4 linked regions of the Notamacropus eugenii genome follow. The protein of the gene in region 1 interacts with the protein of each later gene in a biochemical or structural test. Links are inferred from orthologs where the notes say so. Each region holds a gene or a part of one and is shown on either strand. Other genes may lie near its edges. The genes, in order: TJP1, CLDN4, CLDN7 and KIRREL1.

Region 1 (7,295 bases):
TTTGATTGAATTAAACAAAAACATTTTTAAAACCTTCAGCTTCAAGGAGTGTTTTTCAGTCTGTTGATGTTAATATATGGACCTATAAATGTTACTTTTCATAGTCTAGTTCTAACTGTATGTTGGGATAGGGCATGTAGGTGAATGAACAATGAAAAAAAATTTCTTTTTAGCACATTTTATGTGCAGGCCCTGTGCTAAGGGTTTGGGGATGCCAACACCAACGTGCTAACATTTATATAGCACTTTAAGGCTTGCAAAGTACTTTACAAATATTGTCTCATTTTATCTTCACAATTCTGGGAGGGTAATGCTATTTATTTTTCCCATCTTACAGATGAAGAAATTGATTCCTCTAGAGGTTAAGTGATTTGCTTAGGGTCACAGAGCTAATATGCTGGCCTTCCTGACTATAGGTCCAGCGCTATCTATGGGGACACTAGCTAGGGATCTACAAAATACTAGTGTCAGGCTGTTAGGGAGTGTATATATGAGAGGGGTGGTCAAGAAAGGGAGTGTCTGAGAATTAATGAGATGGTGAGTTGATCAGTCAATTCATAGCCCACTCTAGGAATAATGTTAGTGTGATAATATCTGAGTTGATTACTGAATTTAGAGCCAGAGGTGAATGGATAGTAACAAATCTGAGCAGAAGGCTGGAGGGGAGATGAAGTATAATTGGATTTGGAAGTTTGGGCAGGACTAGATATAGTAGGCTAGCTGAGTTTGTGCTGCCCACTCACTAGTCAATATAGCTAGGCCTCAGAGTTGGAATTCCAAAGATAAGCGAATAAATTTCCTGTGGGCCAGGGGAAATTTTTTTTCTGGATGTCTAGTCCAGATGTACTGATCCAAATGGAGAGAAATACTAGAAGAGAAGATGACAAGATGGATAAGGGTGGGAGGCTAGAAGGGATGTGAAGCATGGTCCATGATAGTGTACAACATTTTATCATATTTTCCATGGAAATTGCTCTCCAAATTTCCTTACAGATGCTTTGTAACTGTAAGGTACCATAGCTGCCATGCTTTTTCCCACTTCTGGGCATGAAAACCACTGTACTTTGGGTCATTAGGACCTAAAGAATGTCCAGCACCTTAGAGAGTTCACTCCCTACTTTTAGTTAATTTCCAAGTCATATAGAAGACATCACCATGATATCTGTTGAACCATTATTTTTTCTATTGCCATTGTCCCCATCCCTTATTTCACGCCCTCACTACTATTAGTAGAATGTAAATTCCTTGAGGGCAGGGAATGTTTGTTAATCTTTTCTTTGCCTCCCTAGCACCTGGTACTGTGCCTAGTACTTAGTAATTGCTGAATAAATCCTTATTTGAATTGAAATCCCCCCCCCTCCCCCCCCCCCCCCGACTATTGCAGAAATGGCCTCTTAACTAGTCTCTTTTCCCTCTGCTACATTCTACTAATTGTTGAGAGATTAATATCCCTAAAGCACAATTTAGGTTCTTGCTCAAAAAATTTTAATGGCTCCCTATGGTCTATAGGCTAAAGCTCAAACTCCTCAACCTGGCATTCAAGGCTCTCCAGTATCATTCCAGCCTTGCCTTCCACTATTCCTTAAATAAAGCAGCTAAGAGATAATTGTTTCCTGAACCTGCTCCTTCCTACCCTTTCCAGTTACTTGGTTCTTATTGTTCTCTTTGCTTGGAATGCTTCACTCCCCCTCCCCCATCTCTTTAAGATCTAGATTAAATGTACCGCCTCTTTCATGAAGCATCTCCTAATTCCTCCAGTTCGATATTATCTTACCTTCTCTTATTCCAAACCCCATAGCACTTGACATACTCTGTTTTGCACTCTTTTTATTTGCATATTTGCCTTATCTGCGTCCCTGCTCCCCCAACTCATCTTCATGGGCCACCTCAAAGCACAGTTCCTTATACACAGGAGGCACTCAGTCAGTCAGTCAATAAATGTTTATTAAGTGCCTCCTGTGCTAGGCACTTGCACTAACTGCTGGGAATACACAGAAAGGGCAAAAGGCCTGCCCTAGGAGCTCACAATTTAATAACTAAAGAAATATGTACGAATAAGATATTGACCAGACAAATGAGTAATTAAGAGAGGAAAAATACTAGAAGTTTCCTGTAGAAGATGGGATTTTAGTTGGGACTTAAAGGAAGAGAAGAGGAGGGAGAGCATTCCAGGCATGGGGGACAGTCACAGAAAATTCAGACCTGAGAGATGGAGAGTCTTTCTTCTGGAACAGCAGGGAGGCCAGGGTATGGGATTGAAGAGTATGTGTTGGGAGAAATAGGGAGGAATCCTGGAAGCATAGGGAGCTACCCAGTTGGGGGCTGATATGGTCAGACCTACCCTTTGGTAAAATCATTTTGGTAACATTGGAGGATGGACCAGAGTGGGGAGAGACTTGAGGCAGGCTGACTTACTAGCAGGTTATAGCAATAGTCCAGGAGTGAGATGATAATGGACTGCACCAGAGTGGTTGCAGTGTTGGAAGAGACAAGGTGGCCTGATGGAGGTGTGTTGCAAAGATGAAACTGACAAGCCTTGGCAACAGACTGAATACTGGATACTATTCATGAAATGTGTATTATTTTTCTGTAGCCTTGCCATTATAACAGAACTGTAAACAAAACTTATTTCACTGTGCTCCTTATAAACCCCCATCTATCTTGTTTTCTATCCCTTCTCCCCAATAAATGATTTTCCTTTACTGTCACCAGCATGAATTATATTGTCATTAGCATGAGTTATATATACATGGGAAAAGCTCCTATTGGGAAAAGCTGTGGGAACCTTCAATGGAATTCTGCTCTTTATTGGTCTTGGAACTATGAGATCAGTTTTGGAGCTGGAAATGACTTCAGGGGTCATTTAGTCCAATCTTCGCATTTTTTCAGTTGAGGAGACAAGGAGAGGTTGAATTGACTTCGACTTATTAGAGTTTGCCTCCTTATGGCAAAATTAGTTGCAAAGAGGTGTCAGGTTTGATATACAGAAAAACTTCCTAACAAGTGGATCTGTTCTAAAGTGGAATGAACTGTCTTTCTAGGGAGCGTCAAGGTAAAATCTGAGGGACTACTTGTTTGGGTGTATTGTAAAGTACAGCATTCTTACACGTGGCCCCGCTATATCGGGGAGAAAAAGGAATTTTTCACTTTTAAACATGCAAACCCATGCACACTTTTGGTTAGTAGGGGAAAAATATGGGGATCCATTCCCCACCTAGAGAGTAAAGCCTCGAAGCTGGCTCCCTGTTTTGGTAGTGACCGGGGGGTGGGGTGGGGGTGGGGGTGAGACACGGCGGGGGGTGGTCTTGTGGTCCCTGCCTCCAGAGCCTTCTCGGACTGTCTGTATTTTGCTTAAACAAGAACAATAGCCCAGCTTCCAGGCGGGCGGTAGTTCCAAGTTCTGAGTACCTTGGACGAGCCCCAACTCTGCTTCCTTCCGTGCAGCCACATTCCTGAAGGGTTCCAGGCGTGCCTAGAACCCCGGGCTCCCCACGACTCTCCTTCGCTCTCCCCGCCCCCAGAAACGCCTCCGTGGCTCGGGCCCGAGGGCTGGGCATGCTCAGTAAGCAAGGGCAGATGTGAGCGCCGCTGGCCGGCCTGGGCTTCCTCGGCTCCGGCTTCTTGCGGCGCCCCAGTCCCTTTTCCTCCCGCCGGGGAGACTGTTGGAGCGGGGCTCGGGGGGCCCCTCCAGAGCCAGAGAAGGAGGTAACTCCCGGGGGCGTGCGGCCTGGGTCCGAATCTTCTCCGCCGCGGTCTCGGCTGGACGGGGCGTGAGCGACGAGGCCGGCCTTGCCCCAGCTGGCATGGCGCCGGTTGCCGGGAGAGACGGGTGGTAGCTGGGGCAGAGGAAGGAGCCCGGGGTCGCCCCGGCCCCGGCCGTCCCTCAGAACCCATCTCGGTTCCCGGCTTCCCCCGCCCGGGAGGCCCCGGGCCGAGCGGCCGCCGCCGAACGACTCCGGGACTTTTGTCCAAGTTGAATCCCCTCCCCCTGGGCCGGGCCTGCGCCGCCGGCCCCCGCCCCCGGGCCCGCTCGCTCGCTAGCTCCCGGGAGATGTTTATTTGGGCAGCGGCGTGAGAGGAGCGAGCGGCGGCGGCGGAGCTGGAGCTTCTGCCTTAGCGTGAGGAGCCTCGCCCGGCGCGGGAGAGACGCACAAAATGTCCGCCAGAGCCGCGGCTGCCAAGGTGAGAGGCCGTGGGGCCGGCGCGGGCGCGAGCGAGGCCGGGGTCGGGGCAGGGCCCGGAGCCCGGCCAGCGAGGGCGGGGGAGGCTCCCACGGCTCGCTCCCTTCTTCCCCCGTCGCCCACTGGCCGGCCGCGTCTGGGAGCGTCTCTGTGGGGGGCAGAGCCCCGGGCGGGACGAGGACCCGGCGGCGGCGGCCAGAATGTGGAGGTGCTGGCACGTCTTCACCGAAGGGACCTCCCACCTGTTGACTCTGGCGGGCTCGCGCCGGGATGGCCCCCCGACCCCCTCGGGCCGGCTCCTGCGGGGGCGCCGACCCCGCTATCCTCCCCCGACCCGGGGCCAGGTGAGCGGGGCGCCGGGCCGAGGCCCCGCCCCGGGAGTGGCCCGACTTTTAGCCCCGAGCCAGAGGGAGGGGCCCGGCCCGGGGCGGGGGGGCGACCGCGCGGGCCCCGCCGGACGGAGCCCTGTGACGACCCACCCGGGGATCGATCTTCCGGCCCAGGCGGAGGCGGCGGAGGAGAAGAAATACCGGCCGGGGGAGTCGGCGAAGGTGACAGGAGGGCAGGCTTGTTGGGTGGGGCCGCTGTGGGCGACGCCGAGGCAGGTGCATCCTCCGGGGGGCGGGAGGGGGAGCCGGGCGGGCCCCGCCGCGCTGGAAGCGCGTTCCGCTCCCCGGTGAAACCGGCTGGTTTCGGTCTGATGTCACCGATTGCGGTATGCGCTCCCTCGCTCGGCCGCGATAAGGCTCCGGACCGACCCGCCGGGACCGCCCTGGGCCAGCGAGCCGGCGCCGCCTCGGCCGCCGAGAGTTTCCCCGACTTAGCGCCTGCAGTTTTCACTTTAAAACTTGGCTGTGGCCGAGGGCCGAGCTCGGAGAGCCGAGCGTCTGTGTTAGGAAAGCCCTGCCCACGAGCGCTTCCCCTGCGGCTCTTTCCGTACGCTGTGTCTTGAGAAGTAAATGTAACTTTGACAAAGATTTCGAAACTCTAAAGTGAGTTTAGTAAGTTAATTCAGTTGGTTTCTGTGAGCGGCGCTGAAAGCTTCCCCTTTCTCCCTGCATTCGAAGCCCTGAGGCTTGAAACCAGTTAAGTTTTTCTTTATTGGAAGAGAACACATGTTCCTACATGGGGACTCCTTGGAGGCCGGCTGGCCTTCGCCCTGGACCTGCGGTTTGGAAAGTGTTATTTTGTAGCGAATACTGGTTACTAAAAAGAGCGAGCAGACTGACTTGGAAAGAAACGTGCGGACCACTTGATGAAGAATGTAACCCCCCCAGCTGCGCAACAGTGAAGTAGCATCTCAGAGCAGTTTGTCACTGAACTCCGAGTGCTTGGTTTACCTTTTCCTATCAGAAGGAGGAAAAAAATATTGTCCTTGACACAGAATACTACTTGTGAGCAGCGGAGAAGTAAACGGGAAATTAAATAATACTGGAATTTTTGTGGTAGATTTTCAGTAGTCTTAGACTAGGAAATGTTTTCTTTGGGAGAAGAGAATGAGGAATCCTTTTTCTTACGTTTGTGGTCTTTTTGTGGATATGATGTATCGAAAAATAGGGCTGAGTATGCTTATACTGCCTATATTCATGATGAACATTATAATTTGGTGAGGCCCCTTTTTTGCAAATACCGTGGAATATATGTAACTGATTTTGACCTTAGTTTCCCTAACCTTAACAATACTTACATTTACAATATCTTTTTGTTTGTTTATTTAAAAAATATGAACATACCTGTTAAGAGAAATACTTTAACAAAGATTTTATTGAGGTTTTCTTAGCACTGACCTCACCGGATTTTTGTGAGCATAAAATAAGATAATCTTATGTAGTCCTTTAAATGTTAGGTGGTATTATTATTATTGAGAAGCCTTCGTTTTAAGTTTTCTAGTACAGCATACTGAGCCTCAATCACTAGAGATTTGATGTACCGTTTCTGCAAATTCTGAATCAAGGGCTTTTTAAGATCCTTGACTCTTTTCTCTAATTTATTGGAAAGGTTTCAGTCTCTGGGGTATTTGGGGAGAAGAGGAAAGTGTATTATTTTATATTTGTTCCTTTTTATCTGGCACTGCAAACTTAATTTTGACCGTGGTTGTACTCAGTGCAGAATAGGAAAAACAATAAAGTGATACTCTTCATTACCAAAGAACTATTTGAGAACTGAAGATAAGGCGTACACATGGGAAATCCCTTTTAGTGGTTTGTTTATAACTCTTTAAATCACCAGAGACTGCAGAAGGAATCTTTTTGAAACTGGCATCCAGGTTTTTGAGCTCCTTTGCCCTAGAGGGAGCAGTGGAATTTAATTTGAAATTTGGGCATTAAATGTGCTTATAAAATTTTACTGTGTATTTTTAGGCACAGTTTTCCATATGTGTTGTTGGAGACTTTTCTTTTTCCTGTCATGAATGACAATAATAGTGCAAATTGTTGAAAAAAATCAAAACATAGTATTTTATACACACACACACACACACAATATGTACATATATCTACATCTAGCTTATCAAATGAGGTACAGCTCTATTTTAGCAATGGCACAGCACAGTTTCATAATTATGATGTGCCAGCTACTTATTCATAAGACACTGTTAAAGAGATGATTGACTTTTGTTCTTTTAGGTCTGGGTTTCTTTGTGAACAAATATAATGAGGTGGTTAAGATTTTCAATCAGTCAAGTAATTGAGGGTATACTATTAAAAATTCACCTTGTTTCTGAAAAAACTTCGATCAAAGTTCTTCAATTTATGTTCTATTAAGAAATCTAGAGTGTGAAAGCTAAACTTATCAATTATAAATTGGTAATACTACTTATGGTAATTGCTTTCCTTCTTGATCTCTGAATTTGCTAAGTTATGTGGTGGAACAGGGCTCATTAATGTGGGCTGAAAACTTTTGTTTCAAAGCTTTATATATTTTCATTTTGAAAACTCAGGCATAATGCAGGTTCTTTTTTAGGTTGCTTTTAAAAGTTGTTTAAGAAAGCCTTGTTTTGTTGTTGTTGTTTTTTTTTTTTACTACATACTGCTCATCAGTGAATTATAACACAGTAATTCTCTAAACAAACAAAAAAATAACCACACTGCTGTGTAAGTAATGAGATTGAAATTG
Region 2 (7,732 bases), on another chromosome or scaffold:
TCCTTTTCATTTGGGCAGAAAAAATCCTTATCTGAGTTTTGATGACTTGAAAAGAAAATGATCAATAATGGCTAAGTGGCCACTGAGGCCACTAAAGGCCACTGAGCCTTTATTTGAATAAGTATAGAGTCATGATATTTCATAAATTAAGCCCTATTTTCAAGGTTGCAATTGAATGAATGAATCAATGAATGAGAGAGAAAGGAAGAAGGAAGGAAAGGAGGAAAAATTAAGAAAGGAAGAAAGAAAAGAAAATAGAAAGACAGAAAGTTTTTGAAACCCATAGAGAGTTGGCTTTCAAATACAGAAACTGAGTGGGGGAAATGTAGGGAGCTAAGGGCTAGGGTTGGGAGGGGAGAGATGTCATGACCAGAGGTTGGGGCACTAAGGTCAAGAGACAGGTCTCAGGATAGCCTAAAGTTTGGTGTGATTGTACTGAAGGAGAGGGGTAAGATGGGAAGAAGGTGCAAACATTCAGGCTACTTGTATCCAGAGGCAGCATGGCATCATGCAACAAGAAGACTAGATTTGAAGTCAAAGGGTCTGGTTTTAGCTCCTGCCTTTGTCACTTACTAGATGTGTGACTTTGGGCCACAGTTGGCTCATTTGAAAATAAAGGATTGGATTAGATTCAACAGAGTTCTTTACCTTTTCTGGATCATGGTCCTGTTTGGTAGTATCTATGAATTCCTTCTCAGAATCCTGTTTTCAGATTCATCAAACAAAACACATAAGATAACCAAGAAAACTAATTATGTTGAAATAGAATTATTAAAACATTTTTTAAAAAATTCACAGATCCCAAGTTAAAAGCCTCTGGAGGTGACATCTAAGGTCCATTCCATCTCAAAGTCTGTGATCTTATGAAAAGAGATAATCTTTAGGACCAAGGAGAAGAGAAAGAGAAAAGAGGAAAGGACTTTCTTCCTGAAGGAGGGTAGTAGTAATTACCTGAACTGTGAGGGATAGGAAATGACAATAACCATAGGGAGTAACCAGGCAGCCAGGGTGACTAAACCAAGTGTGTGTGCACAGTGAAATGCTTTCTCCAGAAGAGAGAGTTTCCTGTGCGGGTCCCTGAAAGGGCACCAGATGGATGGCATGGGCCCCCTTGGTAAGGAAGACTAGATTTCAGGAATGCAGGCAAGGAATGCACTCCCTCCCCCCCTCCAGCTTGTAGGAGGCAGAGAGGTACATGGGAAAGAACACTGGCTTGGGAGTGAGGAAGCCAGATTTAGATCCTAGCCCCTTATAAACCTTGGGGTCAAGTCACCTTACTTTCCTGGGTCTCCATTACCTCATCTGCAAAATTATGGCAGTGAGTCAGATGGCCCCTGAGGACTCTTCCAACTCTAGATCAGGAATTCCTGGCTTCCTTCAAGAGTCCACATCAAAGGATTGGCTTATATATCAGTCCTGTCCTGAGACTGTCCAGCTGCCAGTGCCCCTCCTCCCTAGTACTTTTTTTTCTTTAAAACTTGGTATATGGTTTTTTTTTTTTTAAATTTATTCTTGAGTAGAATGTAATTTCCTTGAGGGAAAGGTTTGTTTCTATTATTTTGTGTTTTTAAAATTTGTATTCCCATTAACCAGCACAATTCCTGACACATACTAAGTTCTGAATATGTCTGTTGAATGAATTCAATAAATTCACTCAAAAACATGTGTGGAGTGAATGAATAAATACATGGACAGAGGGACGGTCATCTTTAAAAAGTGACAGTGAAGAGAGAGACCGTCGAAGGGATTTGGAGAGATTGCCAAGGGCTGCAACTGGGTCATGCTTTATTAATATATTTCTTGTATATTTTTGGATGTGAGACCATGAGAGTGTTTTTGTTGGTAGGGTTTTTTTTGTGGGGAGTTTTGGAGGGAGGAGTAATAAGTGAAATTTTTTTAGAAGGCGGTCTTTCATGAAAGAGGGTTTCTGTGAAGGAAGATTGGTCCCTGAGGGTTTGGGGAGGAGGAGCTAAGAACCAGATGACCAGCTCTGAGATCTGGGGATTTTATTGGTTGGGAGAAGAGAGGACTTTTAGCGGTTTGGGAGGCAGGTCATGGGGCATGGTTTGTAGGACGAAGAGAGGGTTTTAGAAGTTGGGAAAGGTGAAGGAGTGTGGGCAGGGCTGGGGGAATTTTGGGGATATCTCACAGGGGAAGTTTAGGCTCTGCTAGGGTGGGGGGATGCCCTATAGTACTGTTCCCAGGAGCTGGCTCCAGTGGGTGTGTCTAGGTCAGCTTGACTGGAGGTCCGTCGACAGTCATCTTTGCTCTATCTCCCTGGTTCCTTTGGTAGAACAGGTTCTTCCAAATAGTTGTTGCAGGTTTGGCTGGTACAGAGATAGACTGAGTTAATCATCTGCTTCCTGGGAACTGCCTCCCCCTGACCCCCAAGGTCTGCAAACATCTTCAGAGAAGGACCCTAGATTCACAGACCTAGAACTGGGAAAAGACTTTGGAGGCTAGCTTGTCCAACCTTCTCATTTTACAGATGGTGAAACCAAGGCCCTGAGAAGTAATGTTACTTGCCTGAGGTCACAGATAGTAAGCAACAGGCAAGATTTGAACCCAGATTCCAGCTTTTCCAAAATCAGCTCGTTTCCTACTGTACCACTCCTGGTAGGGCAGGGAGAAGGCAGCTGAGAAAGCCAGAGGACTCCTCTTAGGAGGGTGGGGCCCATCCTCAGCAGCAATCAGTCAACATGTACTTATTAGGTGCCTACTATTACTAGGACCTATGAATACCGATATAAAAATAAAAGTCCCCACACCCAGAGAGTTTTAATTCTATCTGGGGTTAGCAGGAATTTGCATGGAACTGCCCATTGGCTCTTTTTTCTTTTGCCCCCATATGTCTGACCATAGCTCCCAACAGCTACAACTTTTCCTCTGAGGTCATCATGAGGATGCCTGATTTCTTCTTCCCTCCCTCCCTCCCTCCCTTCCTTCCTTCCTTCCTTCCTTCCTTCCTTCCTTCCTTCCTTCCTTCCTTCCTTCCTTCCTTCCTTCCTTCTCCCTTCCTTGACTCCTTGACTGGTTCAACCAGGCAGCAGCAAAACCTGTTTATTTTTTTCCTCTACCAATGTTTGTCACTTCTCTGCTTTCCTTTCTGTTCCTACTGCCAACACCTTCATCCAGGCCCTCATTACCTCTCATCTGGCCTATTACAGAAACTTCCTAATTGGTTTCCCAACCACTAATCTCTCCCTCCTCCAATCCAGCCTCCTCTTGCCTCCAGATTAATCTCCCTAAAGCAATGAGGAATCCAAATTACCCAGGCTGGCACCATCCTTATCTCACCCAACTCCCCCACACTTTACCCTGTTCTCCAATGGACTCCTCCCTATGCCTGGGACACACCCCTCTAGTTCCTACTTTGGTGTTTTTTCTGCCTCCTCTCCCAAGAGGTCCTCCCTCTCCACCTCCTAGCAAAAGTCATCAGGGTCCAGCTCCAAGGACACCTCCTACAGGAAAAACCTTCTCTGATTCCCCCATCCTCACCCCCCAGTGGAGATCTCTCTCTTTTACTGACTTCCCCTAACACCTGTTTGTGTATCTTTGAAGGCACTTATCACTATTTCATTCATCACTACTTATCCTACTTCATCTAGTTCTTTGGGTAATTACCCACTTCCCCTTTGTAGACCAAGAGCTCTTTGGGGTAAGGACCATTGTGAATCCTGTTTATAATGTCTTCTTATAGACTTAAATCTGGAAGAGACCTTACAAGACATCCAGTTCAAATCTATCATTTTACAGATGAAGAAACTGAGGCACAGGGAGATTAAGAGCCTGGATCAAGGTGTCTCAGACAATAAGGAGCAGCACCAGATGGTTAGTCTGGTCCAATCTCCCCCCTCATAGAGCTAGAATTACAACCCAGATCTTCTGACTCTAATGTCAACACTCTCTATGGCACAATGCTGTCTCTCCAGCTCTGTTACTTCCTGTCTGTCTCATCTCGGGCCAACTGTGTTCTCTTTTGAGCCTCAGTTTCCTCATCTGTAAAACAAAGGAGTTGTACTAAGATGGCCTCCAACCATTTTTAGATTTGTGGATAGATCAGTCAATATCCTCAGGGGACATGGGAAATGTTCCTGAAAGAGACTTCGTCCTACACCCTTACCCCCAGTTCAGTAAGGAGTACCTTTTAGACTCTCCTCTCCTTAAAGAAGAGAAAGGGGGATGGAGGATCAGAGGGATTAAAATCAGAGTGATTAAATTTTCAACAGGGTTGGGGGGAGGGGCGGCGGTCCACTAATGGGTTAAAGGGACTGGATCCAATTCTGAACACCTAGCCCCTCGCTCTACTGGATGAAATTGTGCAGGGTAAGTGCTGAGGCCAGCTAGGAGGATGCTGATGAGATCCTGCCAGCAATGATGATAAGACTAATTATCTTTGCTATTGCTTTTTAAAATCGGGCTGACAGCAAGGGTAGCAGCCTCCTTCCCCTGGAGGATTTCCACACCCCACCACAGCAAACGCTCAGGTCTCCCCTCCCCACCCGAGGTGGAAGAGAGGTGTTCGATCTAGGGGCGAAGCTGCACTGAGGTTCCCCCAGACCCGTCTCCCGGGGATTTGGGCCCCTGGCTCCCTCCTGTCCTTGGGGAGTCACCCTCCTGATGGGGCGGGGCCGAGGGAGAGGGGGGAGCTGACTCAGACCTGTCTGTCTCTGATTTGACCTCAGCACCCTAAGACTTTGAAGGGAGAGTTCAGTTTCCTCTGAGACTCACTCTCCAGGATGTCAGGCTGGGTGAGTCAGGGCCCCAGTCTCCTCCCGGGGGCCTTGACCTGGGGCCTGAAAGTGTCTTTGTCGCTCGTTAGACTGGGAGGAATCTAGAGAAACTGGTCAGGTGGAGGCCCAGGTCGAAACCCCGCCTCCTCCTTCCCCCCTCCCCTTGCCACGCCCTCAAGCCTTATAACTCCCTAACATCTGGCGGGAAGCTTCATCCGTTGCACCTGCTAGGAGAGGAAAGGTCTTATCTTTATCTGCCTTGCCTTGGACAGTGCCCATTCCAAGCTCCGTCTCCTTGACTTCCTCTCTGGAGAACTTGAACCTTCGATCTTGCACGCCAGCCCCTCCCAGCACCCGGCTCCAGCGCCCCTTGCTTCTCTTGGTTTTCGGCTCTCTCTCTGGCTGAGGGGATGGGGTCCATGGGGCTCCAGATAATGGGCATTGCCCTGGCCGTGCTGGGCTGGCTGGCTTCCATGCTCTCCTGCGCGCTGCCCATGTGGCGGGTGACGGCCTTCATCGGCAGCAACATCGTGACTGCCCAGACTATCTGGGAGGGTCTGTGGATGAACTGCGTGGTCCAGAGCACTGGCCAGATGCAGTGCAAGGTGTACGACTCGTTGCTGGCCCTGCCCCAGGACCTGCAGGCGGCTAGGGCTCTGGTGGTCATCTGCATCATCGTCGCAGCGCTCGGCGTCCTCCTGGCCCTGGTGGGTGGCAAGTGTACCAACTGTGTGGAAGATGAGACCTCCAAGGCCAAGACCATGATCGTGGCTGGTGTGGTCTTTATCCTGGCTGGCATCCTGGTCATTATTCCCACCTCCTGGACCGCCCACAACGTTATCCGGGACTTCTACAATCCACTGGTGGCCTCTGGACAGAAGAGGGAGATGGGTGCTTCTCTGTACATTGGCTGGGCTGCCTCAGGCCTGCTCCTGCTCGGAGGGGCTCTGCTCTGCTGCAACTGCCCACCCCGAAGTGAGAAGTCCTACTCGGCTAAGTACACTGCTGCTCGCTCTGCCCCTACTAGCAACTACGTGTAGGGAGCATCGGGAGGACATTGGACAGAAGGGGAAGAGGGACAGCGAGGCCTTTGGTGGTTGTCCTTCCTTGCCCTCACCTCCTTACCTGTGCCCTAGCTGGATGCATCCTTTTCTCTTCTATTCTCCCTGACTGTTTGGGCCCAAGCATTAGGAAGAGACTGAACTCTCGCCTGGACAGAGAGCCTGGCCCAAGCCCCATACCTTTCCCTATGCCAGGAGTCTGGGGAGGTGGGAGGGTAAGGCTGGGTTGGTGCCTGTTGGAATCAGAAGAGCAAACAATGCCAGGGGGATGCCACCTGTTCTAGCTGGGGCACCCTCTCCAGCCCCTCCCTTCTCTCAAAAACACCCTCACTTATCTCCTTCTGGGGGTACTTGGAAACCTAGAACTTTCTCTTCTGAGAAACACAGTGGGAGTGGTCTGGGAGGTGGGAGGAGGGCTGTGACCTTCTGGGAGACCGAAGCTGGTCCTCCAGTTTCCCAGAAGAAGAAAGAGGAAGAGCCATTGGTGGAGTTGGCTGAGGTTCCCTCCCTTTCCCCTTCTCCCCCCCACCCCCCTCGCCTGGGTGCTCCTAGAAGAGGAGAAGGAAAAGACTAGGACTGTGGTTGAGCTGGCTGAGCTAGCTCAGTCCTTTACCCAGGGGCTCAATGTCACAGAGTCAGTTCTGGCTGGTTCTCCCCCCCCTCCCTCCTGGAGTGTGTGTGTGTCTCAAATGGGCACATCCTCAAACCTATTTCCAACCCTGTATGTACCCTCTGTGATTCCCTTATCTCCTCCTTTCCCCCTAGTCTATGAGGGTTCACCTTTTGTACTATAGCTTCCTCTAGAAGTAAAAGGGACCCTCTTGAAGGAAACAGGAAGCCCACCCGCTCACCCCAGTGGCTCATTGAAACTCAGCATCTTGAATAGGCAGGGAATCAGGTGACCCAACCCCTTCTCCCTTCTCTTCCTTAGTGACAGGAGCCACAAAGTGGGCCAACTGGTTTGGGAGGTGGCTAAATGAGGCAGGTCCAAGGAGGGGTAGATGGCTCACATTGTCTCCTCCCTGCTCTCTCCCATTTCCCCATTTGCAAAGTTCTCAGGACAAACAAATGGGGAGGCGACTTTCCAGAATCTCTGGTTTTCCTCAGCATTCCCCTCCCCCAGAACCTCAAGTGACTCAGTCCCTCCCACCTCAGCACAACTCAGCTTTAGAATCTGGGGGGTGGGGGTGGGGAGAGGAGCAGGGCTTGGCAGAGCCCTGGAGAAGATGATTCTGAGGAGCTAGGGCTTGACTCCTCCAAAGGATTTGGGTGGGTTGGGGAGGAGTGAGTGCAGATGAAGGGGCATTTCTCTGTTTTCCCCCTCCCCCCATGGTTTTGGCAGCTTCCTGCCTAAGACAATGTTTCTATTTTGTAATTAAAAATAAATCCATAAATTGTAATTATTATTTTCTATAATAAACTGGATCTGTACATGGAAGCATTGCCTCTTGGCTGTCTGATTTCAATTTTAGGGTGGAAGGGATGGAATAGGGCCAGGGGCTGAGGGTGAGAGAGGAAGAGGTAGGAGAGGGAGCCTTGGGGGTCTAGTGAGACAAGCTGAATCTCAGCTGTCTGGGATAACCCAAATAAACTAGATTTGGAATTGGTGTCTAGGGTACCAAGTATCCTAGGAAAGAGCCTGCTGGACATGGGCTCTCTCTCAGTGTCTTTTAGGCACATGTTCCATTATCCTTGGGGCCAAACTCTTTAAATTCTACCTTCATTGAGTTACAGAATCATAAGTTTGTTTGTTTTACCTTGAAGGGATCTTGGAAACCGTCAAGTCCCTTCAGGCCTATTCTCCATGCACCTGAATGGTAGCTAGGTACATCACAGGACCAGGTGTGTCAGGTATGGCCACAGGTCACAGAATAAAAGTAGGAATGAGGGTAGGCGTGGTGAGGGGGACAGGGGTTTAAGTATGCAGTTGAGGATTTC
Region 3 (6,885 bases), on another chromosome or scaffold:
CTCAGATGTTCCTATTTGAGTACAAAATTATGCCGGTTGCTTCAAACCTCATATCATCAAAGTCTCCTGAATGTGATTCATAACACTCAAAAATATCTATGGTCCAGAAATGCAATTTGGTTTGACAGCCTCATTGATTGGTACATATACCTTGGATAGGCACTACAAATGGACAGTGGGTAGGACTCAGCATTAACCACAAGAAGGAAAGTAAACTGGACTGTCTATGGGAAGTTGCAAAGCTCCTTTCATGACACAATTGTCTCTCTGAAATAAAGGTCTAGATTTCTAATATCACTATTCTACCAGTCTTATTGTATGGCTGCAATATATGAAACACTTCGGTCTCTAAAGAATTAAAATGGATTATCACTAAAAGCAAAATGGAGAAGTACACAACAAATAAGGAAATAAGAGGAGTCAGAGTAAAGGATGCTATCAAAGAAATGTATGATTGAAAAAGAATGTACACTGGTCATAAATGGTAATGTAGTGCAATGGAAAGAGGTCTAGATTTGGATTCAGAGGTCCTGTGTTCAAATCTCATCTTTCTATATCTGTGACTTTGACAAAGATGCTTAATCAGCTTTTTCAACTGTAAAATAAGAGGCTTAGATTAGATGGCTCCTGAGGTCTTCTCCAGCTCTGGATCTATGATTCTTTGAATCCATGTGAGCCCAGGCACTGTCAAGAGAAAATAAAGAGTACCCCCAATATATAGGGTGGGGCCCCCTATGAAAAATTTATGAGAAGAGTCACACTAGATGGGCTGGCTTAGATGGATTGCCATTCTTGAATATGGTAAGATCACAGACTCGTTTGAATTTTAGCATATATGTGTGAGAAAAGATTTTGGATGTGGAGTTAATTGAACTGTAATTGGCAAAAGACAAAGTGTAATATCCTATAGATCCCCTGAGAGGGGAAAAGAAAGGTATTGAGAATAGAAGTTGGGTCAGTCAGCTCCCAATAACAATCATCAGGATGGTTACACAGTCCAAGGATAGCTTGGTTATTCTTTGTCTGTGATAGAGGTGGAAACTTTTGTATGTAAGGAAGGCTTAAAAATTAGGCATTCAAAATTTTAAGGAAGTGACTTTTCTTGTCATAACTAGAGACACAGGAGAGAATAAGATCAGAAGACAAAAGGCAAAAAAGGGTACGATTGAAAGAAAGGGGAGAAAGTGAAGGATGAAGATCAGAACAGGAAATGAGAAGGATAAAGTAAGAGGGAGGTGATTAGCAAAGATTAGAAAAGAAGATGAGAAGGGAAATAGAGAGACAGAAAGAAAGATAGATATGGGAGGAAGAGATGATTGAGAGACAGGAAGAAAAAGGACAGAAATGGGGAAGACAGAAAGCATGAGGCTGAGAGCTATCAAAAAAGACGGGAAAAGAAATAGAATAGAGAGATGTAAGAGAGAGACCTGAGAAGAGAAATTAAAAGAGTGAAATGGAAATGGAAAGAAAGATAAAAGAATGATGGAAAGAGAGATATGGATAGCAAGACTGAGGAGAAGAGAAAAGAAAGGGATAGTCACTCAGAAACTAGCAATCTTGGAATAACTTCTGATGTTTTCTTTTTCCATATGCTATATATCCAATCAGCTGCCAAATTCTCTTGATTCTGTCTTTGAAATCTCTTTACTTTCATATGTTTTTCCTCTATACTGCAGTCAAACTCTATCTTTTCTTGCTTAGGCTATCATAATAGTCTCACAATTGGTCTTTCTCCAATTTGATGTACCACCATAGTCAGATCATTCTTTCATACCCCAAAACTTTGGTAATTCTCCACTGTCCAAGGAATAAAGTATAAACTCCTTATCTTGGTATTAAAGTTCCTCTACAACCCCAAACTTTACAGTCATATCATACTTTACATTTTCTGTCCTTTTACAGTACAACTTAACCATTGTCTGAATGGACTTCCAAAATAAAGAAGCTGCTCAATCTGAAGAGATCCCTCCCTTTCCAGCACAGGTCAGGACTCACCTCACATGAAGTCTTCCCAGTAAGAAACTCCTTAGATTTCTCAGAGCACTTTCTCTGGACTTTTCCAATTCATTTAATGTATCCTTCTTATAATTATGTTGATGCTCCTACACTCCATTAGATTGTAAACTCCTTGAAAGTGGGTCTGTTTCATGTTTATTGTTTTATCTTCAGCAATATGCTTTGGAATTTAATAGGTATATGTTGAATTGAAAATGAAACTGAAAGAAGAGTGATGGAGAAGACAGATATAAAAGGAAGGGAAACAAATGAGAGAAAAGGGAAGACAAATGGAAAGAATGAGATTGGAGAAAGTGAGGATAGGAAGAGATCTGGAAAGAGAAGTATAAGATATCTAGGTTAAAGAAACAATGGAAAGAAAAATAAACAATATAGAAGAGAGATGGAGAAAGGCTAAGTTATCACAGGCAGGATAATGGGGAAAGAAATGAAGAGAGATTGGGGAGAAAACTATATAGAGAATATAGGAGGGGAGAATGATAGAAAGAGATAGGAAATGAAGGGAAAGAAGTGGAACAAGACATGAGGAAGAGATGGAGAGGAATTGGGGAGAGATATAAGACAGAAAGAAATGAACAAGAGATTGGGAATAAGAGGGAAAAGATGGAGAGAGGGGGAGAGATATGAAATAGGGGTAATATGGGGTAGAAATACAGACAGGAAAGATAGAAGACAAAGATTGATAGGAAGATAGGGGAAAGAGATGCTGAGAGAGATGAGGAAGGGAAAGTTAGAGTGAAAGAGCTCTTCATAAATGTGATAAATTATTATGGAGCCAGGGGCCACCACTGGGAGATGGGAATGGAATGTACATGACAGGAGTTAAGGTCTTATGATGAAGTCCAGAGATAGGAATGAATATTTGGGAGGGGAAAAGGGGTTATAGTAGAAAGAATTGACATGGGGTAGAGACTGAAAGAAGGGGATGCAAGGGAGCAATGAGGAGTGAAAGCAATACCATAATTATTTATTAAGTTCCTATTGTGAACAAAGGATTGTTACAAGGCACTAAAAGGTCTAGCAGCTGGAAGGAAACTCAAGAGACCATGTGGTCATTTTACAGATAGGAAACAAAAGTCCAGAAGGGTTGTTAAGTGGCTTATCCAAAGTCATACAGGTAGTAATGATCAGAGCTGGGATTTGAACCCCAGCCAGGGGCCACGCTCTTGCTACCTACCAAGCTTTCCTCCTCCAAGCAAATTTGAGCTAAAACATGGTCCCTATCGATATTTTGGAGCTTTCTCTAGGTAGGGTATGAGATAGGAGCATACCATAAGTATGAGCTTTTATATACCGGATAGACAGACAGAGAAATGCAGAGCAGAAAGGAGGAGTTCAGGACAGGTAGACTTGCTTGCACTAGGAGGAGCTGGTTCTCCATCCCTTTCCCACTGGGTGGCACCAGGGGCGCCGGTGTCCAGGGACAATTTGCTTGGGTGAGGCCGAACTAGGCTTTAGAGCCAAACGAAAGGGGGTGGGGGAGGGGAAGAGGAAGGAGAGGTCAGACAGTGTGTGGAGGGACCACAGGTGACTCAGGGAAAATGGGAAGGAAAATCTCAGGTAGTCAAAAGTCCTCCCTTCCCTGAGGAGCCTCAGAGACCCTCAGGTTGTTCCCTGCTTTCAGATCCTCCAGATGAGAAGTGGCACATCCCAGGGTTCCAGACTCCGTACTCCACTGTCTCACCTGTGCAGGTGTGTGTCTGGGGGACTTCCGGTCTAGATGACTGTCCCTTTCTGTGACGTCAAGTCACCTTCTCCAGTACCTCTTGGCCACGCCCCTGTCCCTCTCCCCTTCCACTCTCCTCCCCCTTCCCCCTCAGGGTCTTATAAACAGGTGCTCTAGCTGCACCTGTCCCATCCACCCTAGAGCTTAGCTGCCATTCTGGACCGCATTGCTCTGGAACTGAATTGTAGCCCGGCAGCCACTCCAACTGACTGAAGGCTGCGGCAGCTGTGGGAACGGAACTTTGGGGGGGGGGGGGGGCTTTTTTACCGGCCAGGTGAACTGAACTAGCTACTCTAGTTGGAAGTCTCTAGAGACCCGGGGACCAACCTCTGCCGTTTGGCCCGATAGGCTTGCTCACCTTTTGTTTGGGTAGGGTTGGCAGCAGCGCTAGAACGCCCCGGAGGCCCCTAAAAACAAAGCGTGGGCATTGGGGAGTTCTACCTTCTACCCTAGAGTACCTTTCCTTTTGTCTGACCTAGGGACTGGGGGAAGGGGAGCGGCGACCTCCTTTTTTTTTTTTTTTTTTTTTTTTTGTCTCCTGGTCCCGCCTTTCCACCTACCCTGCTCACCTAGGGTCCCCCATCTGCCCCGCCCCACCCCGGGAGAAGTCTCTTCTGTTTACTGTAGGGTGTTCAAAAGGAGAAAATAATTATAAAATTGTAAAGGCTCTGACCATAGAAGTACTTTTTCAGGATTCTCTCAGAAAACACCGCCAAGTAGGGGAGTGAGGGGTACTTTGTAAAAAGTTGCCCCAAAGACTTTTTTTCGTTTATTGTAGGATCTTCTTTTTTTGGGGGGTGGGGAGGATGGCAAACTCTGGTCTTCAGCTGTTGGGATTCGCCTTGGCCGCTCTGGGGTTGGTGGGATTGATAGCCTGCACTGCGATCCCTCAGTGGCAGATGAGCTCCTATGCTGGAGACAACATCATTACTGCCCAGGCGATGTACAAGGGGCTATGGATGGAATGCGTCAGCCAGAGCACCGGCGTCATCAGCTGCAAGATGTACGACTCAGTCCTCGCTCTGTCTGGTGAGGCTGGGGAGCACCTGTCACTTGAGTTCCGACGGGAGATGGTGGGAGGAAAGGGCGGGAAGTGAAGGTGCTGGGGGTGAATGGGGAGGGGATCTAGGTTCTCGGAGGGAGAGCCACAATGGGAGAAGTTTAGAGGTCTAGAGGCTAACGGCTCACTTGAGGTCTTTCTGGTTGAGGGAGAAGTTGGAGGGAAGTTGGGATGTACGTGAAGGAGGTCGAGGTGAGGAGGAGGGAAGAAAGCTGAGGTAGGTGGGGATGGGGATATCTGAAGTTAACGAAGCCTAGGTGGCCTGGGTGGGGGGGAAGATCCTGTGTTCAAGGAGGGAACGAAATTACGCGCGCTTACCAGAAGGGGAAAAGTTTAAGACCCTCTCCCTTCCACTTTCCGATTTCTCGCCTTTCCCCTCCTCATCTGGCCCCACTCGCTATAAAACTTCTTTGAGTTAGATGTCCCTCCAGCTCCTCACCTATCCACCTCCAGTCTTTCTTTCTCCTCCATTAAGTGAAGGCTCTTAGAGGCCACTGAGAGGAGAGGGACCAGAAAGTGAAGGGATTAGGGTGGTTTGCAGTGTGAGAAGTTTGAGGACTGAAGGGATGGAGAGTGCTTGTGTTTCTTTGCGTCCCAACAAGGGTAGGGGCAGAGGGAAATCCTGAGGGGACATCGGCAAACTAGAGCGCAACAGGAAAACTGGGGGCCGGAATGCCCGAGTCTCCGGGAGACTCGGGGCCTGCAGCCACAGTCTCTAATCTTATCTCCCTGATTAGCTATAGTAACTAGCACCCGAGGCTGCTGATAGTAAGGCCGAAGGGAGGTCAAAGGGAGGTTCGGCACTCGGAGCCTGAGCCAGGTTGGGCTTCGGGGTCTTTGGAGGGGCTATCTCTGTTTCCCGAAGCCGCTCCCCCGGGCAGTTTCACCGAAACTTGGGCGCCCCGGGCGTTGTCCATGAGCTGAGGCGAGGCTCCTCGGGCGGGGCGAGGCCGGGACTGAACAGGAAGGCTCAGGTGCGGGAAGAGGAAGCAGGAATGGAGGAGAGAGAAGGATCAGGCTACTGCTGGCTCGCCCCAGGATGAGGGGAGAGTTGAGGGGCCTCTCCTCAGGCCTGAGTATGTGGACGAAATTGGGACTGGTGGTTTAGATACTGAAGTAAGGGATGAGGATTAGGTTTGCGAGATGGTTGAAAGATGAGCCACTCCCGAAGGGTACAGGGGTCAGTGGGAGGGGAAGGAAGACAACTGCTCGGTATAGAGGAAGCTGGGATACTTGCATCCCGAGAAGAAATGAGGCCCTTGGCCTCCTAAGTATTTCTTCTGTTCGATAAAGTGCCTTACTTAGGTGTAATAAGGTCTCATAGTGGATCCAAGAAGTAGAACTACAAAGACATACAACAGATCTTGCCCTTTAGGAACCTCGGGTGGTTGCTGTGAGGAAAGTTCTAAATCAGTAAGCATTATAGAAACTATAAATATGTACTGTTAATTAACTACAACCCAACAGTGAGGGGAAGGCATGAACACAGTTACAAAACGGACAATAGGTATTCAAATAAGAGATACGGACAAAGTGCTACTGAATAGGGAGAGCTTACTTGAACACCTTCTGGAGCCAGGACTGAAGAGGGGTCTTGAAGGAAAGGAAGGTAGAAATGGGATTCCATCTCAAATCCAGTCAAGGAAGAGAAAAGAGTAGTCAGACAGAAGAGAGGACAAAACTGGATGAATAATCAGTCCCCTTTGGCAGACCACTAGAGTATATTTAGTGTAATAAGGTTGGAGTCAGATATTACAGATAACCTTGCACTGGAAGCAGAAATTTATTCCGTGTGGACAGAGAAAAACTGATGATTTTTGAGTAGACAATGTGATCCGAGTGGGCCACTGAAAAATATTAACTTGGCACCTGAATAAAAAATGGATTTGAGAAAGGGAAAGATTCCAAGTATAGACTAGTGAGGACACAGATTATTAAACTGTCCAGGTCAGAGGGTAAGGGCCTAACCTACAGTGGTAGCAGTGTATATGAAGAAGACTAGGTGCGAAAAATATTGGAGTAGAATTGTCAGAATTTGGAGACTGTTTGGGGTGGGGAGGTTTTTTAAGGGAAAGGTGATGAA
Region 4 (7,122 bases), on another chromosome or scaffold:
CACAATAAAGCATAACACATTTATATGGTGTTGTCTTTGCCTCCTGTTTGGGGGTAGTAGTGGGGGAGGCCACACACACAGAAACACACACACACACACCTTCCAGGGAGGTGGGGAGAGAGAGAGAGAGAGCGGGAGAGGGGAAGAGAGAGAGAGAGGGAGGGGGGAGAGAGGGAGAGAGAGAGAGAGAAAGAGAGAGAGAGAGGAGAGAGAGGGAGAGAGAGAAAGGGGGGGGGAGAGAGAGAGAGAGAGAGAGAGGGAGGGGGGAGAGAGGGAGAGAGAGAAAGAGAGAGGGAGAGGGGGAGAGACAGAGACAGAGAGAGAGAGGGAGAGGGAGAGGGAGAGGGAGAGAGAGAGAGAGAGAGAGAGACAGAGAGAGAGAGGGAGAGGGAGAGGGGGCGAGAGACAGAGACAGAGGGAGAGAGGGAGAGGGAGAGGGAGAGGGAGAGGGAGAGAGAGAGAGAGAGAGAGAGAGAGAGAGAGAGAGAGAGAGAGAGAGAGAGAGAGCGGGAGAGGGGAAGAGAGAGAGAGAGAGGGAGGGGGGAGAGAGGGAGAGAGAGAGAGAGAAAGAGAGAGAGAGAGAGGGAGAGAGAGAGAGAGAGAGAGAATGTGCTTTTTCTTTTTCTGACCATTTCCGTCCTCGATGCAATCCACATGTCTCTCCTATTTGCAAGCTGTGCTTTTGTTCCTAGAGGCTCAGGCACATCCATATTGCTAGTATGTGTTGGGGGTGGGGGGGTCGGGAAGAGGGGGATGGACATGGTACATAAACCCCTCCCCCACAACCCCTATGCACAGACCCAAGCAGCCATTCCTCCCCCAATCTGTCCCCTCCCTCTTCAGCAGCCTGGCTGAGCAAAGTCAGAACTTAAGTCATCTTTCCAACTTTTTGCTAACTGGCCAGGCTGGGTCCTGGCTCTGGCCTCGGTCCCCCTCTCCTCCTCAGAACCAGCCCCACCCCCACCCATGTGCTCCCTCTCCCCTCTAGGGGAGTGGGGTGGGGAAAGAGGAACCAAAGCCCTTTGGAAGGAGAACCAGGAATCAGGCCTCCCCCAGCCCAACCCTAGCCAATTTTTGTTTTCAGAATTAGGAAGGAGGAACGCTCAGCTCCACAAACATATAAATGCTCGTATAAGCAACTCAGTGGGCAGAGCAAACCCCCAATCCAGCATCCTAGCCTAGAGACTACCTTCACCTCCTCCCCCAACTCCATCACCAGAAATAAATAAATAAATAAAAGATCATCCCCTCCATTTTGCACTGTGAGTATTACATGTCTCTTGTAGGTTATATGCATGTATGTCTATAGGTCTGAATCTCTTTGTCTCTCTCTCTCTCTCTTAAGGGGGTATCCATAGATGCCTCTCCGTATATATGTGTAAGCCTGTATCTGTTGATGTGTTTATTTGTATCTATTTCATGGAGTATATGTGGCTTGGGAGGGAGAATCAGAATGTGACTATGTATTGGTATGGATGAGTTAGTGCGTGGGTATCTGTGTATACGTGTAGCTGTGTGTCTATGTGTATCTCACAATGTGTCTATGCCACTCTATGTAGGTCTATGTCTTAAGTTCATGTGTCATTCTTTATTGCAGTCTAGCCTGGTGGATCTATTTATCTTGGTAGGACTCTGTATCTGTTTCTTAGTGCATGTGTCTGTCTGCTCGACTGAGTATGTGTCTCAGTGTCTATGTGTGTGACTCATTGTCTGTCTCAGTGTGTCCAAATCTGTGTGTCTGTTTTGTCCCCTACAACCAGATCCATCAGGCCAGGTCCCCTACTCCACAGGTCTTTGTCCCAGTTACTGATTCTACCTGAAGAAGGGTCACTATGACACCCTTCCCCTCTTCCTACATCCAACCCTTATGACCAGAGAATCGACAGAAGTCAGAAGCATCTTCCTCTGCCCTCTAGTGAGGACCACAGACTCCAGGGTAACCCCCGTAAGCTCTCACTCATTTTCTAAGTCAGGTTTAAGCAAACTGAAGCCACCAACACACCCTGGAACCCCAAAATTGGGGGGGGGGGAATGCTGGCAACCCCTTCCCACCAAAATAAATAAATACCCAATTTCTGTGCCAGAGATATTAACCAGAGTTTCTTCAACAACTCGCCCCACCATGTTGAAGCCAGCTCTGGGGCTGTGGCTACGGATTCTCCTTACCTCCATTCTTATCCTCACCCCCAGGGCCCCAGCTGGAGTAGGGAGAGGGCAGCTCTACATTTAAGGGGGTTTTCAGAGTTAATTACCCCCACAAAGGGCAAGACCCCTCCCATACTCTAATATCCCAGGCATCAGAAAATCCTAGCGCCTTTAGCAAGGACCCAGGCATCCAAGATTTTGGCCATATTCAGGACCAGTTTCCAGGTTGTTAGAGTGTAAGTCCCCCGACCCTGGGGGATGTAGGGATCACTTTGTCCTACTGCTCTTTACTCCCACCCATCATCCCCAAACCCTCTGGTCCTCCGGGCCCCATCGCTCTGCATAGGCACAGAAAGCAACTTGGAGAAATCAAAAGGAAAACTCATCCCTTCCCTCTGCACTCCGCTCGCCCCCTCCCCGGATTCTCCACGACCTCCACCTCCTTGCCCACCTCGTGGCCTCCCCTTTCCCACCGCCACCTCCATCCCCAAGCTGGGCAAAGTGGGGAGAGTGTAACCCGACTACTTCCCCATCGTTCCCGCGAACCCCTTCTTGTGTTCAGCCCCTAGCCCCCAGCAGGAGGATCTGGTCAGGGGGTTCGGAGGCGTAGGGCCAGGGGACTAGGGATCGAGTGTGGTGGGGAATCGGGGGTCCTTACCTTGGGAGAAAGTGTCGGAGAGAGTGAGGAGCCAGACAAGGAGGCTCAGCATGCTGTCCGTCCGCCGTCTGCCCGCCCGCCCGCCCGCGGCTGGGGCCCGGAGTTGGCGAGTGAGAGAGGGACAGAGAGAGGAGAGGGCTGGGGGGAGGAGGGGGAGCCCTGGGGCCCGCCCCCCGCCCGCCCCCCGCCCCCTCCACACACACACACACACACACACACACACACACACACACACACACACACACACACTTCCCTCTCAGTCTTCTCTCTCTCTCTCTCTCTCTCTCTCTCTCTCTCTCTCTCTCTCTCTCTCTCTCTCTCTCTCTCTCTCTCTCTCTCTCTCTCTCTCCCTTCTCCTCTCTAATCTCCCTTTCTGTCTGACTTTGTCTCTTGATATCTCTGTCTCGCTGAGTCTCTTTCTCTTTCCCTCTCTTTCCTCTTCCCCTCCCTCCTTCCCTCTTCCTGACGTCTACTTTTCCTCCGACGGTACCTCCCACATTACCCTCCTTCTTCCCTCCCCTTCAAAAAGAAAAAAAAAACCACCAAAACCCTACAACCTCGCAGAAACAGGGATTGAGGGAGAGAGAGCGCGCGAGAGAAAAAGGGAGCGAAAGAAGGAGAAAGAAAAGGAGAAGGTGGAACCATTGCAGGCGCTGGGCGGGGGTAGGGTGGGGTGCGGACCCTTCCCCCTAGGCACTCCGGGTATCTTGGGGCTCCTAGGAGGGGGTTGAGAGGGTTCCAGAGAAGGCATCTGGATTGCCAGTTCTTCCTGGAGTGGGGCAGGGAGAGTCTAGACTGTGAATGTGATAAGAGGAAGAAAATTCTTTAAAGGAGTTGGGAAGCTTGGGAATACTTTCCCACCCCATCCCTGCTCGAAACCTCTGGGGAAAAGAAGAACCCTGGAGGCCAGATTTCCATTTCCAAATAAATGCTCTTGAAAGCTAGGGCGTATGCGTCCCCTCTCCCTAATTCCCATACCCAAAGATAACGGGGCTCAGATCCGAATACAAGCGTCTTCCTGTCCCAAGCTCAAGGGGCTGCTTCACCCCGGTCAGCTGCATTGCAGAGCAAGTTAAATGTTGTTGGTGCCACCAGGACGAGGAAAAGTGGCACCCAGTTAAGAGGTGACCCTTACCTTCGGACACCCTTTCCTTTCTTCTGCTGATCTCTTACTCCAGCCTTTCCCTAAGAGAAGCAAACTAGAACATTTTTTTAAAAAGCCGAGCATGAATGGCCTTTTATGATGAATACGAGAGAATGCTCGGATCTCTAAGCACCCATGAATCTGGGACGCCTTCAGAGCTGAGATACAGAAACTGGGAAGGGAGGGGATTCCCAGAAAGAGAGGGAGCTGCGCTCCAGGACCCAGGCACCCAGTGCCCTCTTTCTATCACGAACCATGTGACACTATCCGCCTTTCTCTCCCCATCCCCCTGCTCAACTCACAGCCCCGTGCGCTAGCAGAGAGAGAGGCTCCCGGGCACCCCGGACGCCTGAGTTCCAAGGATCTCCAGACGGAGAAGGGCAGAAGCGAAGTGGGGGAGGCGGGAGGACGGAGGGGAGAAGTCTCAGAGATTGCATAACTTTGCAAATGCTGATGTGATCCAGAGAGGCGTAGGCCTCCTTTCTTCCCCTGTTTCCAGCACTCCAAGCCCCCAACCCCTACCCTGGCCTCATCTTTTCAATCCAAGTGCTTTTAGGAATGGCAGTCCGCTTTTCCGTTCATACGAGTGGCTATCGGCTGCCCTCTGCTGATCGATGGTCGCCACTGCCTCTGGTTCACCTCCAGGCCCATCACTATCCCCTGGGCCTCATGTTCATTTCCCCACAGAACCAGAATCGTGCCTTCTTCCTCCCAGCCCAGAAAAGGAGCATTGAGGTGGAGGTGGGGGCCGAGAGGAGTCACATTATTTTCAGTAAGTTATGAAAGTGTCCAGGAGAGGATTGGGCAGAAGTCCCCCAGTTAAGGTCCACTAACTTGGTTTATGGTTTTAATATTAGCCCCAAATTCATTCATTCCTTATGAGAGATCTAAGGATGGTACATGTCACACATTTCCCACCCTGAAAACAAATTAGGGAGATTTCTCTAGCTTGCTACTAATAGCTAAAGCAGTTTACCTCTTCTCTTGCACACCCCACCATCAACCCCTGCCCCTTTCCTCCAGTGTCCTCCCACCCTAACCACTCTCTTACAGCACCACTCTAGATCCAGTGTCATTCTCCTTGATTTCAACACTTCTTTGCTTTCTCTCACAGTATGCATTTATCCTCACTCTCTCTAGCCAACCGGGCTGAAGACATGATAAGTAAGCAAATCCAGTTTTCCATCCCTCATGAACACCTAGTGGTTGAACCATTGGGGTTCCCTTCCTTCCTTTCTCCACTTCAAGCTTTCTTCCCTGGTTCTTCTCAAATCTTACCTATACTTTCCTCTCTTACTAATCTTTCCCTACCCCTTGGGAAAAAACAAACCCCTATCCACTCTTGAAGTACTGGTGTTTTTTTTAGAGTTCTGGCTTACTGAATTATCTGTCCTGTCCCTAAGCCCTAGGACTACATCCTGTGTTCCCCATCACATTGAGAGCTTCCTAGGGGGTAGGGTCATATCTTCCTCCTGAATGTCCTTCTCCAACACCCAGAACAGAAGTATATTGAATAGTGGAATATGGTATTGATAGAGACTGGATAAGTGAATTCTAAGGACCCACTCACTACTCCTGCATAAAAAGAGAGGCAGCAGCATGGTGTATAGAGTCAAGACAAATATTAAGACATTTTTTTGAGTACAAAAGGAACAAGAGGTCAGGGAGGAACCTGGCTGGGCAATTTATGACCATCAGTGGGAGAAGTCATTGCAAGAGATGGGAATGAATTCTTTTTCTTGATGTAGGCTGATGTGGGCAAAACAATCCTATAAATTGTCCTCTTTCCTCCACAAAGACACCAGAGGATCATGTCCCTGCTGACTGTGGAAGAGGGAGGAGGGAAAGATGGGATGCAATCTAGATTTTCAGCTCAGGAGGGAGTCAGGGATACAAGGACTTTAGGTCCTGGAGATTGACAGTGTACATTTTATCCATCCTCCTCCCTCTGGGCAAGGCTTCCAGGGACTCCAGTCTAGAGTAGAGAGGGATTCACCTGCATTATCTTTGGGAAAGGGACATCCCTGTTCCCCCCTCTGTCATTTTCGCATCTCACAGCTCTGACTGCTCAGAAGTCCTTACTACTCTCCCATATCAGTCCTCCCTAATGCAATGCTAATAATGTATTTCTCTTGAAACTGCCCTTTCCAAAGAGCCTAGCATTTGACATGCCCCAGGAGGAAGATAGAGATTAGGAGACACCTCTCAATGGTGTCAAAGTCCCATAGGACTTTCAAGGAACTAGCAATGAATGTACTTTTATAGGGAGAAGGGAAAGGAACAGTAGGCTGACCCTACCACATCCCCACCTCCCTGGATACTCCACCTAATACATTGGCCTAACTTGCTTGGTGGAGAGGTGCCCTGCTTTTCAAAGGAAGGAAAGAGAGATGGTTCTGATCTGGGGAAAGTTCCACCTGGCAAGGCTGCAAGTTGAGTGTCACCCTACTTTCTCCTCCAGCCTGAAAAGTGAAGGCTCTCCTAGCTATGCTCAAAATCTCACTGAAGGGTCAGCTGCCCCAGTGATAACACCCAGAACAACATCCATCCAGCTCCTTGCGTCTTCAAGGTTGAAAGGAACAATCCCAAGGAAGTCTTAGCTCCTTTAACCTTAAGGTCTGGATAAAGATTTCAATACATGCCAGTTATTGTCACCCCAGAACTGGGAACCACTACTGTTCTCTGCCTTCCATAGATGAAGAGGTCTGGGAACAAGAAGGGATGGGAGCTAGACTGGGAATACTGGGATAAGGCTGTTATTGACAGAGGGCAGGGATCTTTTTTTGCAGCAGAATTTTTGCAGAAGGTTAGAACTTAGAGGGGGAGGTCTTACTACTGGGCAGAAGATTCTAGATAAGAAGAGCAAAGGAGTCCTGGAGATCTAGAAAGTAGTATTTGACTTGGCCGAGATGAGGAGGAAGGCTGTAGTGGAGTGGTATGAGCCTTGGAGTGAAAGGACCTCTGTGACCCCTGGCTGGCTCCACCTTTCTGAGCCTGAGGTTCTCATCTGGGAAATGAGGAGGTCGAATCAAGTGCCCTCTGAGCTCCACCTCTGGCTTTCCAAGACTCAGATGATCTACCTCCTACAGATGATCTGCCAGGAGTCTGGTGTGTTTAGTAGCAAGGGACTGAAGGCACTTTAGAGATAAGTTCACCTGGGGAATTGAGAACTCAT

Evidence for each region.
Region 2: the proteins of TJP1 (region 1) and CLDN4 form a complex in vitro, tested with the Homo sapiens proteins (2 studies listed by BioGRID and IntAct, with this or other methods). The link is inferred for Notamacropus eugenii from reciprocal best matches to the Homo sapiens genes TJP1 and CLDN4.
Region 3: the proteins of TJP1 (region 1) and CLDN7 form a complex in vitro, tested with the Homo sapiens proteins (2 studies listed by BioGRID and IntAct, with this or other methods). The link is inferred for Notamacropus eugenii from reciprocal best matches to the Homo sapiens genes TJP1 and CLDN7.
Region 4: the proteins of TJP1 (region 1) and KIRREL1 form a complex in vitro, tested with the Homo sapiens proteins (3 studies listed by BioGRID and IntAct, with this or other methods). The link is inferred for Notamacropus eugenii from reciprocal best matches to the Homo sapiens genes TJP1 and KIRREL1.

What each region holds. Positions count from the first base shown.
Region 1 is NC_092872.1:152,386,841-152,394,135, reverse strand, and holds the start of TJP1 (tight junction protein 1), read left to right. Parts: upstream 1-4,292; 5' UTR 4,293-4,381; coding exon 4,382-4,732; intron 4,733-7,295. UniProt on the Homo sapiens protein: TJP1, TJP2, and TJP3 are closely related scaffolding proteins that link tight junction (TJ) transmembrane proteins such as claudins, junctional adhesion molecules, and occludin to the actin cytoskeleton.
Region 2 is NC_092873.1:49,706,224-49,713,955, reverse strand, and holds CLDN4 (claudin-4), read left to right. Parts: upstream 1-4,922; 5' UTR 4,923-5,143; coding exon 5,144-5,773; 3' UTR 5,774-7,232; downstream 7,233-7,732. UniProt on the Homo sapiens protein: Can associate with other claudins to regulate tight junction structural and functional strand dynamics.
Region 3 is NC_092873.1:78,805,195-78,812,079, forward strand, and holds the start of CLDN7 (claudin-7), read left to right. Parts: upstream 1-3,867; 5' UTR 3,868-4,548; coding exon 4,549-4,771; intron 4,772-6,885. UniProt on the Homo sapiens protein: Plays a major role in tight junction-specific obliteration of the intercellular space.
Region 4 is NC_092873.1:382,289,127-382,296,248, reverse strand, and holds the start of KIRREL1 (kin of IRRE-like protein 1), read right to left. Parts: upstream 3,010-7,122; 5' UTR 2,856-3,009; coding exon 2,804-2,855; intron 1-2,803. UniProt on the Homo sapiens protein: Required for proper function of the glomerular filtration barrier. It is involved in the maintenance of a stable podocyte architecture with interdigitating foot processes connected by specialized cell-cell junctions, known as the slit diaphragm.